3 linked regions of the Canis lupus familiaris genome follow. Each later gene encodes a partner of the first gene's protein in a complex. Links are inferred from orthologs where the notes say so. Each region holds a gene or a part of one and is shown in the gene's direction. Other genes may lie near its edges. The genes, in order: CDHR2, CDHR5 and MYO7B.

Region 1 (3,623 bases):
GAGGTTCCCTAATGGTCCCTGAGCAGCAAACACAACACCACTCCTTGATCTTCATTACCATGCGGCTTTGAAAATGTATTTGGTGTGGGGCCCCAAATACACTAAATACACACTAGGCCAGACATAAGACTGATGAGGTCCAGTCAGCCATCTGACAGACTCTGATGGAGCTCATGCTGTGTACCAGGCACTGGCTTTGGTGCTGAGACTATCTGGTAAATAAGGCAGATCTGGTCACATTTTAATGAAGAATATAGATAATAATCAATGAAACATTCAATAAGCAGGATTATTTCAGATGCTATTAAGCTCTATGAAGAGTGTAAAACAGGGCAAAGTGAAAGAAAGTGACCAGGAAGGGGGCTGGTTTAGGTTGAGCAACCAGGAAAGGCTTTTCTGAGTAGGTGACATTTGAACAGAGACCTACATGGCAAGAAGGAACCAACCATGGGATGCTCCAGGAGAAGGATGTTCCAGGTAGGGGAACAGCAGATTCAATGGCTCCAAGCTGGGAATGAATTTGGAGTGTTCTAGGCATATAGCCAGGAAGGTGCTGTGAATGGAGGGTGGAAGGTGAGGAGGAGGTGAGGTGAGAGAGGTGGACAGTGGCCTGACATCAGAGGGCCATAGAGGGAGTGAAGATTGTATTCTAGACAAAATAGGGAAACCATTGGAGGGCTTTTAGCACAAGAGTGATGTGGTCTGATTTATGATTTTCAAAGATCACTTTGGCCACTTTGTGGAAATAATGAAGGTGTGCACAGGTCACAGACAGGGCAAAGGCCTCCCCAAAGAACCTTCCAGCTCTGCAGGGTGCTGTCTGGGATGTACTGCTGTAGGCTACAGAGAGCCCACAGGATGTTTGAGCAGGGGAGTGGCACATCCTGGATTCTGGAATGATTGTGCTTCTTTCTCCTGAGGTGCTCTGCAAATCATAAGCCAGCCGAAGTGGTAGGGAGAGGAAAGGGGGGTAATCTGCTCCCTGCCCTCCCTCCCCCCAGTGGTCTCCAGAGGCCCAGCCCAAGTGAGAAGGAAAAGGGAGCATTGAGTGTCAGGCTCTAGGTGTTATTCCTGCAGTATAATCGGGGACATAAACTCAGGGAGGGGAAATGAGTGCTCAGTCGTGGAAGGGATGGATTGGAGTTCCTCATTACAGACCCTGCCAGTTGGCTCCCTGGTGTTCTCTGTGCTGGCCAAGGACCAAGACACGGGGTCTGCAGGAGCAGTGGTGTACTCCATAGAGCAGGTGAGCACAGGCAAGTCCTGTGGGAATACGGGCCCCACTGCTCCTCATAGCCACCAGGGGGCAGCATCTCCCACACAGCCTGCAGGAACCTTGAGTGTTGGGGTGAGCCCTGGCTCCCAAACCTTTTGCTGGCCCCCTCTGGACCTCATTTGATAAAGCCACCTAAGGAGGGTGACTGCCATGGACAGAACCCTTCTTCCCACCTTCTTGCCTTGGGGCACCGACTGGGCTTTTCCTGAGTTCATGTGGCTTCATGGGGTGGCTGGTACACAGAATAGGAAATCGAGAGGTACAGTGTCTTGTCCAAGGTCACACACACAACAGAGTATGTGACCCAGTTCTTCCGAAGGCATGTTAGCTAGCTATAGCTCCCGTCTACTGAGTGCCCACGATGTGCCTAGCATATACCTTACCTCATTGGACCCTCCTCTCAACCCACTGCTGATATGTCTGAGCTCATTTCCCAGAGGTGGAAACTGAGGCTCAGAAAGGTTAGGTGACCTGGTAAGGGTGGCAGGGCTGGTTAAGAGCAGAGCTAGGACTTGAGCCCTGGTCTCTCAGAGGGGAGCCTGCCCTGACTGCTCTGCCTCAGGTCATCCCTAGCAATGGGGAGAGCCAGCACCTCTTCAGGATCTTCCCCAATGGCTCCATCGTCCTCAATGGCAGCCTCAGCTACAACAACAAGAGTGCCTTCTATCAGCTGGAGCTGAGGGCCTGTGTGAGTAGGGGTGCAGACAGAGGGGGGCCAGGACCATGAGGCTCAGCCTTACGGAGACCTATCTCCCACAGGACTCAGGCGGCCTATACAACAACGTCTTCACCATCCAGTGCTCCTCGCCTGTCTTCCTGTCCATCTCTGTAGTCGACCAGCCAGACCTGGACCCTCAGTTTATCAGGGAGTTTTACTCAGCCACTGTGGCCGAAGATACACCCCAGGTGTGCTAGAGGACCTGGACGGGTCTGGGTGGACACAAGAGGCAGGGAAAGGGTCCGGCACATTGAACCACGTGGTTCTCTGCACAGGGAACGTCAGTGCTGAAGGTAGAGGCTGTGGATAGTGACAAAGGCATCAATGACCCAGTGATCTACAGCATTTCCAGTGAGAATTGGGGTGTTCCCAGGTGGAGGAAGGGGTGGGGGCTCTGCTGCAGCCACTGGAAGCAGTAGCTTCTACTGCCTCTCATCAGACTCCACAAGACCCGGCTGGTTTGCCATCAAGTCAGATGGGGTGATCATGGTCAATGGTTCCCTGGACCGTGAGCAGCTGCTGGAAGAGGATGAGGAGGTGAAGGTCCAGGTCATGGTGAGTGAGGGGTCCATTGCCCCTTTTGCACCCCTACCCTCAACTTCTGACCTTTAATCTCCGTTCTCTCTGATCCTTGGTTCTCTGACCTCTGGCCTCTGGTTTCTGCTCTGCCCTAAGGCCACTGAGACGAAACCCAACATCTATGGGCAGGAGGCCAAGGTGAGCATATGGGTCACACTGACAGTGACGGATGTCAATGACCACCAACCTGAGTTTTACAACTGCAGCCTTCTGGCCTGTACCTTCACACCCCAAGAGGCCCAAGTCAACTTCACTGGCTATGTGAATGAGCATGCCTCCACCCGCATCCCCATTGATAACCTCACCATGGTGGTCTACGACCCAGACAAGGTAGGTGCACCCAGAAAAGGGGTGGCTGGGCAAGAGTGATGGTGGGAGATGGCTAGGGAAGATGGTGGGGAGTGACCCATAGAACAAGGTGCTATGGTGGGTGATTGGTGGTGCTGATCATAAACAGTGTTGGAAAATCAGAGTTGTTAGGTGATATTTGCAAATGTTGGGTGATGTTATACTGGTGTGTAGTTTTGTGCTCAGGGCAGTGCTAGGTGGTGGTGAACAGAAAGGCAGCACTGAGTGAAGGTTAATAGTGGATGCTAGGTAATGTTGAGTGGAGTATATAGTTTTCAGTGGTGTTGAGGAGATGGTGGTGATGGGTACTTGGTGAAGTTGCAGGATGTTGGGGTATTGGATATTGGGGAATGTGGCAGTATTGAGCATAGAAGTGGTTGAGTGAGTGCAAAATTGGAGAGTATTCTTAAGTGGAAATTGATATTGAGAGGTGGGTGAGCTGGGTGGCATTGAATAATGAATACCTATGGATGGTGTTTGGTAGTATGTGGTGATATTGGGTTGGTACCAAATGTGGAGTGGAGGATGGTATTGGGTGGTGGTAGGTGGGTGGGTATATTGAGTTGGTGGTTGGCATTGAGTGAAGCAGAAGGGGTGTGGAATGGAGGGTGGTGTGGGTAATGGGGTGATGTTGGGTGTTGCTGGTATTTGGTGCTGGTATGGTGGTGGACTGTGTTGAGTGGGAGTTGGTAAGGAAGACTC
Region 2 (3,891 bases), on another chromosome or scaffold:
AGGTGTCTCCCCTGTCCCTGCTCCTGCAGCCAGCCCCCCTTGTCCTGCGTCCCGGGCCCATCTATGCCGTGGACGGGGATCGGGGCGTCAACCAGCGTGTCCTCTACAGCATCGTGACAGGTGAGTGCGCGCTGGAGCCCTGCCTCTGCATCCTGGACCTGGGGGGACTTGCCCGTGGGCAGAGCCAGCGGGGGCCCCAGACCTCAGACCCCTGGACGGAGCGAGAGGCCTCACCTCCCCCCATCTTCGCAGGACAAGACGACGGCACATTTGCCATCGACGCCAACTCGGGCAACCTCACCATGACCAGGAGCGTTCCCAGCCCAAAGACCTTCACGCTGCTGGTCAAGGTGGGCGCCCTGGCCAGGCCTCCATGGGGCCGGGGCTTTGAGGACCTGCTTGTCGCTGAGGCCTCCCCCACCCCCAGGGTGAGCAGTCAGACGGCGCCCGCTACTCGGTGACCTGGGTCACGATCGAGGCCCGAAGTGCCACTGGCAGCGTGCCCCAGTTCCCGCAGAGCCGCTACTATGGCACCGTGGCGCTCAACTCTGCAGTGGGCGTGGAGATCCGAGACACAGCCAGCCCCTCCCTGCCTCTGAGGGTCTGGGCTCAGGACCCCGACTTTCCGGTAGGCACCAGGCCCTCTGTGGGGGGGGAGTCGGGGGGCAGCCTGGGCCCAGGGCTCACTGCGCAGTGTCCAGGACCTCAACTCCGCCATCACGTATCGCATCACCAATAACACCAAATTCCGGATGGATGGCGAGATCGTGCGGACCGCCGCCCAGCTGACCCAAAAGGGGGTCTCCTATGCAGAGGTAAGGGTGGGGGGCACCCCCAAGGGGGGACGACGGCGGGGCCTGTGAGGGACCAGCCCCGCTTCTGCTCCAGGTTGAGGCCATGAACACCGTGACCGCAGGCACCGCCCGCTCGGTGCTGGAGATACAGGTGCTGGAGCCGCAGGGACCCGCCCCCACAGGTGAGCCCGGCTGCTCACCCCGGCGGGGGGCGGGGGCTCCCCGGGGCGGGCGCGCTGGACAGAGGCAAGCCCGGATCCTGTCCCTGGCCCCCCAGGTTCATCAGGGCCCCCAGAAACCCCCACACCCCCAGGGGCTGGAGGAACCACCAGCCTCTCGAGCAGCACTGCCTCAGAAGCCCCCAGGCCCCCGGGGCCCTCCCAGGGATCCTCTACGACCAGCTCTGGGGGGGGCGCTGGCCCACATCCCCCCACAACCACAACTCTGAGGCCACCAGCCTCATCTACGCCCGGGGGGCCCCCCAGTGTGGGAACCAGCACCTCCCTCCCATCAGCCTCACCCAGCGGGGGCTCAACACCAACACTGGAGCCAGGAACCTCTCAGCCGCTGGCCCCTGACCCCAGCAGGACCCCCCAGCCCTCAGGTAGCACCTCCCGCTTGCCCTAGTCGCCCTCGGGGTGGTCCTGGGGGTCCTGGTAGGGCAGAGTCTGCCTGGGGTGGCCCAGCACGACCACGCTGACCGTGAAATCCTGAGACAGCCTGCTCTGGGCCGGGCAGGCACAGGCCCCGGGTGCCCCTGACTAGGCAGGCCGGGGAAGGTGTCCAGAGCATGGGGCAGGAGCCAGATTCGGGGTCCGGGGGACCCCGCGATTCCAGGCCTTCCGTGTACCGGCCCCAGCACTGCCTTCATGGCCTTCCAGGGTGCCGGACCCCTGGCTTCCACTGGGAGCTGGTGGGCACTGACGCCCGCCCGCCCGCCCTGCCTCCTGCAGCACGGCCTCCCCGACGGCCCCTGGGAGCAGCCAGCTCCTCGGTCGGGGGGTGAGTAGTGCCCTTCCCCGGAGCCTCAGCTGTCACGTCAGGGGGTGCAGAGCCTGGGGTGGGTGGTGGGGGTGCCGGGTGCCCGCAGTAGCCGGTGGCCTTGCCAGCAGGACCGGCCCAGAGCCAAGCTGAGGACCGGCGCTTCTCTGCGGTGGACATGGCGGCCCTGGGCGGGGTGCTGGGCGCGCTGCTGCTCCTGGCTCTGATCGCCCTCGTTATCCTGGGCCACAAGCAGTTCGGCAGGCGGCTCAAGTGCTGCTCCGGAAAAGCCCTGGTGAGGCCTGAGCGGGCGGGGGCAGCACCGAGGGCCCACGGGGGAGGGCAGGAGGGGGGGCCGGGCGGTCGTCCCAGCCCACGGAGTGTGGAGGCGGACACGGCAAGGAAAGGAAAGACCAGCCCGCGGCCCTGTCCCCCAGGACGGCTCCGGGGACAGTCCCAGCCCCAGCCGGGCCGGGGCCTGGGTGATGCCCTGATCGTCCCGTCTCCCCGCCAGGACCACCAGGCGCTCGCCTTCGACAACCAGGCCTTCTCGGACCCCCAAGAGGCCAACTGGGCGCCGGCTCCGCGCGCCTCCCCCGGCCCCACGCGGGCGGGGCCCCCCGAGCCCCCCGAGCCCACGCCCCAAGAGGCCTCTGGCTCCGCAGCCGCGGGCCCTGCCCCCGGCGCCCCCGAGGCGGCCCGGGATGGAGGCAGCCCCGCCGCCGTGAGGTCCATCCTGACCAAGGAGCGGCGGCCCGACGAGGGCGGCTACAAGGCCGTGTGGTTCGGGGAGGACATCGGGGCCGAGGCCGACGTGGTGGTCCTCAACGCGCCCGCCCCCGACGCGGCCCGCGCCCCCGACTCGGGCAGCGAGCACAGCGGCGACGGGGACGACGAGGACGGGGAGCCCGGCGGGGGCTCCACCTACGTCTAGCCCGGCGCCCCCCGCCCCCCGCGCAAAATAAAGGCACGGTGTCCAAGCTCTGCTGCGCCAGGGTGCCCAGAGCCGCCGCCGGAGGGGAAGGCGTGGCCTATGCGTCCCCTCCCCCACCCCTCCCCCCCGCCCCCCGCAGCTCTGCGTCCCGCTTCCCGTAAACCACCTGCCGCCTCGGGGCTTCCCGGGCTGGAGCCAGCTGGCGGCCCAAGTTCCTCTCCCGGTGTGACCGCGGCCGCACCCTGCGCGGCGGGGGCACCCCTTCTTTGCCTGGGGGCTGAGGGGCCCCCCTCGGGAACACTACTCTGGAGGGCGAGGTCCCGGGCCTGCGGGGCGCAGCGGCCGCAGCGGGGACAGAACCCCTCTGGGGGCCTCCTCAGGGGGGGACCTCCCTGACCCTCGTGGGCCCTCCGCGCTTTTCCTGATGAAAAGGCATCCCCAATGCCGTTCCAAATGTCTTATTCTAGGGATCCCTGGGTGGCGCTGCGGTTTGGCGCCTGCCTTTGGCCCAGGGCACGATCCTGGAGACCCGGGATCGAATCCCACGTCGGGCTCCCGGTGCATGGAGCCTGCTTCTCTCTCTGCCTGTGTGTCTGCCTCTCTCTCTCTCTGTCTGTGACTTAAATAAATAAATAATAAATAAAATATTAAAAAAAACAAAAAAAAAAACAAAAAAAAAACAAATGTCTTATTCTTAGGGACATGTGAATGTTCTTGTCTGGATAATTCTCATTAAGAATCCAAAAGCTGGGCAGCCCCCGTGGCGCAGCGGTTTAGCGCCGCCTGCAGCCCAGGGCGTGACCATGGAGACCCGGGATCGAGTCCCACATCGGGCTCCCCGCATGGAGCCTGCTTCTCCCTCTGCCTGTGTCTCTGCCTCTCTTTGTGTCTCTATGAATAAATAAATAAAATCTTAAAAAATCGAAAAGCCACCGAGTGGGGGGGGCGCCTGGCTGGTTCTTCGGTTCCCTGGGGACAGTGGATTTCTGCTCAGGTCGTGATGTCAGGGTCCCAGGATCCAGCCGGGGTGGGGGTGGGGTCCGCACTCAGCGGGAAGTCTTCTAGGGGACCCTCTCCCTCTGCCTGCCCCCGCCCCCCAGTCTGCAGCTGTCTTTCAAATAAATGTCTTAAAAAAATAATCAAAAAAAACCCCAAGAGGCGGCCTAGATGGCCGAGTTGGTT
Region 3 (4,187 bases), on another chromosome or scaffold:
ATAGACAGAGAGAGAGAGAGAGAGAGGCAGAGACACAGGAGGAGGGAGAAGCAGGCTCCATGCCGGGAGCCCGACGTGGGACTCGATCCCGGGACTCCAGGATCACGCCCTGGGCCAAAGGCAGGCACTAAACCGCTGAGCCACCCAGGGATCCCCTCATCCCCCTTTTAAAAGCCTCCTCTTTAAATACAGTCCCATTCTGAGGGACTGGGGGTTAGGACTTCGGCATATGAATGTTGGGGGGGCGGGGTGGGCAATGCACAATTTAGCCCGTAACAGTCAAGATGTTGGCTGGAGCTGTGGACATCTGTGACCTTGACCAGGGTGGGAAAGCTGCTTCCAAGATTATCGGCTGTTGACTGGAGATCCAGTTCCTCCCCACAGGGGCCCCTCCTTAGGGCTGCTGGTCCCCATGACATGGCAGCAAGATTCCCCAAGCCAAGCGATCTTAGAGAGAGGAAGGGGGAAACCACAAAGCCTTTATGAACTAGTGTCAGAGCTATACCTTATTTTATTTGTTAAAAGGAATCACCAAGTCCACACTCAAGGAGGGAAGAATGAGTCTCCGTCTTTTGAAAGGAGAAATGTCAAAAAATGTGTAGACGTAACCACTGCAGTAATTGGTAAAGCAAGAGCCCCAGTGGAGGAGGCCAGAAAGGGCAGAGCTGGAGGGGTTAATGAGAGGCCATCAGTACATCCCTTCCCCTGGGCAGTCCCTTATGTGCTCATATGTAGAAGGAAAGGCAGGGAGTTGGAAGAACTGGAGGTCCAGGGGCATCTCTCTTTTTCCTGTGGTACAAAGTGAGTAATGGGAGGGAGCTTTAAAATAGGGGTTTTTTTGCAGAAAGAGCTGACCATGGCCCTTGGGAGGGTCTCAGGCATTTCTAAAGTCCTAGAAGAGGTACAGGCCATGAAACTGCCCTGGCCTGTCTTTGAGGTGGTGTGACGCATCCCTAGTGTGCTCGGCTCAGGGGTAGGACTTTGCAAGTTGTGAGCAGGAGTCCTACTTCACAAGAGTGCAATAGACCAGAGGGGGGCACATGTCGTGCAGTTTATTGTACTTTATTTTTGTGTTACATTTATGGGTATTTGTAAAACCACTTTGTTCCCAGAAAGATGAAAGGCACTGTCCCAGCTGGCTGGGATAGGAATAAAGCTAGGATGCAGGCTGACAGACCAAAAACAGAGGGGGTGAGGGGTCATAATGAAGCATAATGAAGTTGCTCATGGGGGAGGGCATGATGCTGGGTTAGGGTGTTTCTGGAGGACATGGCTTCTGAGGTGGAGCAGTTCTGGGACATGGGAAGACCAGGGCCAGTGGCAGGGGAGTGAACATCACTGGAGTCTGGGGGCCAGAGGAGTGGGAGTCCAGGATAGGCAGGGGGTAACTGTGAGGCACATCCTGGTGTCTGGAGAAGGTTGATGTGATATACATGACGGTCAGATGCCACGGGTGAGGGGACAGAGGGTGATAGAGACCATGGGTGGGCTTCAAATTTCTCCCTGGAGTAGGGAAGTAAGAAGCCAGAGTGGCAGTGGGGAGCCAGGGGCAGGGCAATGCCCCTCTGCATCCTTCCCACCCATCATCTCACTGGTTATGTGAGGCAGGGAGATGGTCCAGCCTCCCTTGAGAGAACTTCTGGGAGCCAGGATTCAGGTAAGAGTTTCTTTGCACTTTTATACAGACCCTTAAACTTTCCCAGAGCAGAGGAAGTAGGACAAAGTGCATTGATTTTGGAGTTGGGCAGAAGAATCCCATTCTTGTCTGACCAGTTTAATGGTTTTGGCAAAATCTCTATTTATTGGCCTCTGTTGTTCTACCCACAAAATAAGGATAGTAGTTATCTCCTCCTACAGCAGGGTCTGCTATGTGGGAAGTCCTCTCCTGAGGGCAGCTGTTAGTTGTAGGGATGTCAAGGTTTCTACTACCTAAATGAGAATAAACAGATCCCCCAAAGTTTGCCTGGCTGGCTCCATCTTAGCTGAGGTGTCCTGGTGATGGGTGGTCACCTGGGCCTATTTCTCCACAGACAAAGGAGTGGAAATGTGGCCTCAAGTGTCAGCAGCCTGATGCTTGTGCATGATAACCCCTCAGGAGCCTCAGGAGTGCTTCCTGGAGAAGTACTGGAGGCACAAACAAACATTTCATGGGTCCTCCCTGGGTGTCTCTGACCTCACAGAGACCCTGCAAAACTCCAACCATTTCCATTTCAGGAAGGAGCACACTAAATCACTTGCAGGACCTGCTCCAGCTGGCATAGCTGGTGGATGGCAGAGCCACACTCTCCCATTGTACATACCACCTCCCCAGCCCCCTATGGGGGACCACTCCCATGGGTCAGCTCAGGGCAGGGAGGCCCAGGGCCCTGAGCATCTGTGGGAAAGTTGGGCTGCAGTGCCCCCAAGGACGCCTTTCCTAGATTCTCAGCCTCTGTCTATGCCCAAATGTCCCAGCCCAGGGGAACAGGGACAGGACCAGGACAGGAGGTTCCATGCTCCTTTGGAGTTAGAGAGAAAAACATAAGCTTGGACTTTAAAAAGGAATATACAATCTGATTACTGTCTTTTTGCATTGTAGGTGCTCAACAAAAGTGGAAGATTTAGATTGGCATTAAATATATAAATGCTGTACACTAAACACAAATTAGAATAAGAAAATTCTTTGTCCACCAGAACAGTGGCAAATGGCTCTTTGTCATGTTCACCCACTGCCTACACCCCTACTTTTCTCTCATCTCCCCACTCACTCTGCTCAACCCAAACATGCTGACCCCAACATCCTTTGCACTTTTCCCTCTGACTTTGCTAGAGTTGCACCATCCTTGGAGAAGGCCTTCCCTTCCTTCCACTGTGAATTCTTAATCATCTTTTAAAGTCACTGTCGAAGCCTCTCCAGGGATATCATTCAGGGTTTCATTGAACAAGCATTTCCTGGGGGCAGGCCTGTGCTAGATGTGGGGAGCACAGTGATGAACAAAATAGAACCAGCACACCTCTCAATGCTCACTAGGGATGTGGGTGAAGGGCCTGTGCCCCAGGTCAGGACAACAGCAGGCAGGGCCCACCAGTCTCCCTCCTTGGCCTGCTGCAGCTAATGAGGCCTGCCAGAGTGCTCCCAAAACCCCTAGGAGGTAGCCAGGTGCTGGGGGCAGGTTGGAAATGAGGCAGATAAGGATTGGATTCCCAGCTGTGCTGCTACCTAACTGGGTCACCTGCCCTCTGTGGGGTCTCATGTAAGAAGTGGAGAAACACCTGTGTACCTGTGTTTTGGGGTGCTATGAGGCTTACATAAAGTACGTCACATGTCTCTAGCTACACTGGCTGCTTACCTCAGCACTCCCCATGGTGCACACACCATGTGTGGTGGGTGATGACTGGTTTTCACAGATGTCTGAGCAGATAAAATTTGTGCTTCTGGATGACAGGGACTATGTCTTAAGTATGTTCAAAACCACCCATGCTACCTATATCAAGCCCAGTACTGAGTACAAAATAGATGTTCAATAAAGATGAGGTAAGATGGAAGAAGATCCAGAAAGCATCTTCTCACCCTGGGATGGAACTGTGACTTATTTATCCATTTATTCAAGAGTCATATTTCTTGTGGGGCTCCTGGTTAAGTGTCTGCCTTTGGCTGGGGTCATGATCCCAGGAACCTGGGATCAAGCCCCATGTTTGGCTCCCTACTCAGCAGGGAGCTTGCTACTCTCTCTTCCTCTGTCCCTCCTGCCTGCTCGTGCTTGCTCACTCTCTCTCTCTCTCTCTCTCTCTCTCTCTCTCAAATAAACTTATAAGATCTTAAAAAAAAAAAAAAAAGAGTAATTTTTTGAGCCAGGCCCCATGCCAGGTACTCAGGGCCATGTTGATATACACACATGGCCCCTTCTTCCCGGGGCTCCACGCAGCGCCAGAATGTCAGAATGAGCACTAACATTCTGCTTTCTCTCTTCTCATAGGCTGGGAGGACCTGCTGCCTCAGGATGTCAGCCTTCAGGCTGGTAAGAATTGCATCTGTTGCATTAGGGTTTATCTGGGAAGTTACCAAAGGCTAGCTAGGTCAAATCACTCAGGGAGAGGCAACAAGGGCCCACAAGGAAAACATCAGAGACAAGGGAATATGGGGAATAAAACAGATTATATTATATAAAGAAAACAAGTTTGGCCAGTCTCTGGGCCTGGGCAGGCGG

The links.
Region 2: CDHR2 (region 1) and CDHR5 share a complex: the UniProt entries of both Homo sapiens proteins name them as parts of the IMAC/intermicrovillar adhesion complex. The link is inferred for Canis lupus familiaris from reciprocal best matches to the Homo sapiens genes CDHR2 and CDHR5.
Region 3: CDHR2 (region 1) and MYO7B share a complex: the UniProt entries of both Homo sapiens proteins name them as parts of the IMAC/intermicrovillar adhesion complex. The link is inferred for Canis lupus familiaris from reciprocal best matches to the Homo sapiens genes CDHR2 and MYO7B.

Annotation. Positions count from the first base shown.
Region 1 is NC_049225.1:37,644,377-37,647,999, reverse strand, and holds part of CDHR2 (cadherin-related family member 2), read left to right. Parts: intron 1-1,156; coding exon 1,157-1,246; intron 1,247-1,838; coding exon 1,839-1,964; intron 1,965-2,035; coding exon 2,036-2,182; intron 2,183-2,269; coding exon 2,270-2,345; intron 2,346-2,433; coding exon 2,434-2,549; intron 2,550-2,669; coding exon 2,670-2,903; intron 2,904-3,623. UniProt on the Homo sapiens protein: Intermicrovillar adhesion molecule that forms, via its extracellular domain, calcium-dependent heterophilic complexes with CDHR5 on adjacent microvilli. Thereby, controls the packing of microvilli at the apical membrane of epithelial cells.
Region 2 is NC_049239.1:26,062,346-26,066,236, reverse strand, and holds the end of CDHR5 (cadherin-related family member 5), read left to right. Parts: intron 1-29; coding exon 30-120; intron 121-252; coding exon 253-350; intron 351-427; coding exon 428-628; intron 629-701; coding exon 702-815; intron 816-888; coding exon 889-976; intron 977-1,071; coding exon 1,072-1,398; intron 1,399-1,903; coding exon 1,904-2,070; intron 2,071-2,289; coding exon 2,290-2,709; 3' UTR 2,710-3,295; downstream 3,296-3,891. UniProt on the Homo sapiens protein: Intermicrovillar adhesion molecule that forms, via its extracellular domain, calcium-dependent heterophilic complexes with CDHR2 on adjacent microvilli. Thereby, controls the packing of microvilli at the apical membrane of epithelial cells.
Region 3 is NC_049240.1:24,407,197-24,411,383, reverse strand, and holds the start of MYO7B (unconventional myosin-VIIb), read left to right. Parts: upstream 1-1,306; 5' UTR 1,307-1,612; coding exon 1,613-1,657; intron 1,658-3,956; coding exon 3,957-3,998; intron 3,999-4,187. UniProt on the Homo sapiens protein: Myosins are actin-based motor molecules with ATPase activity. Their highly divergent tails are presumed to bind to membranous compartments, which would be moved relative to actin filaments.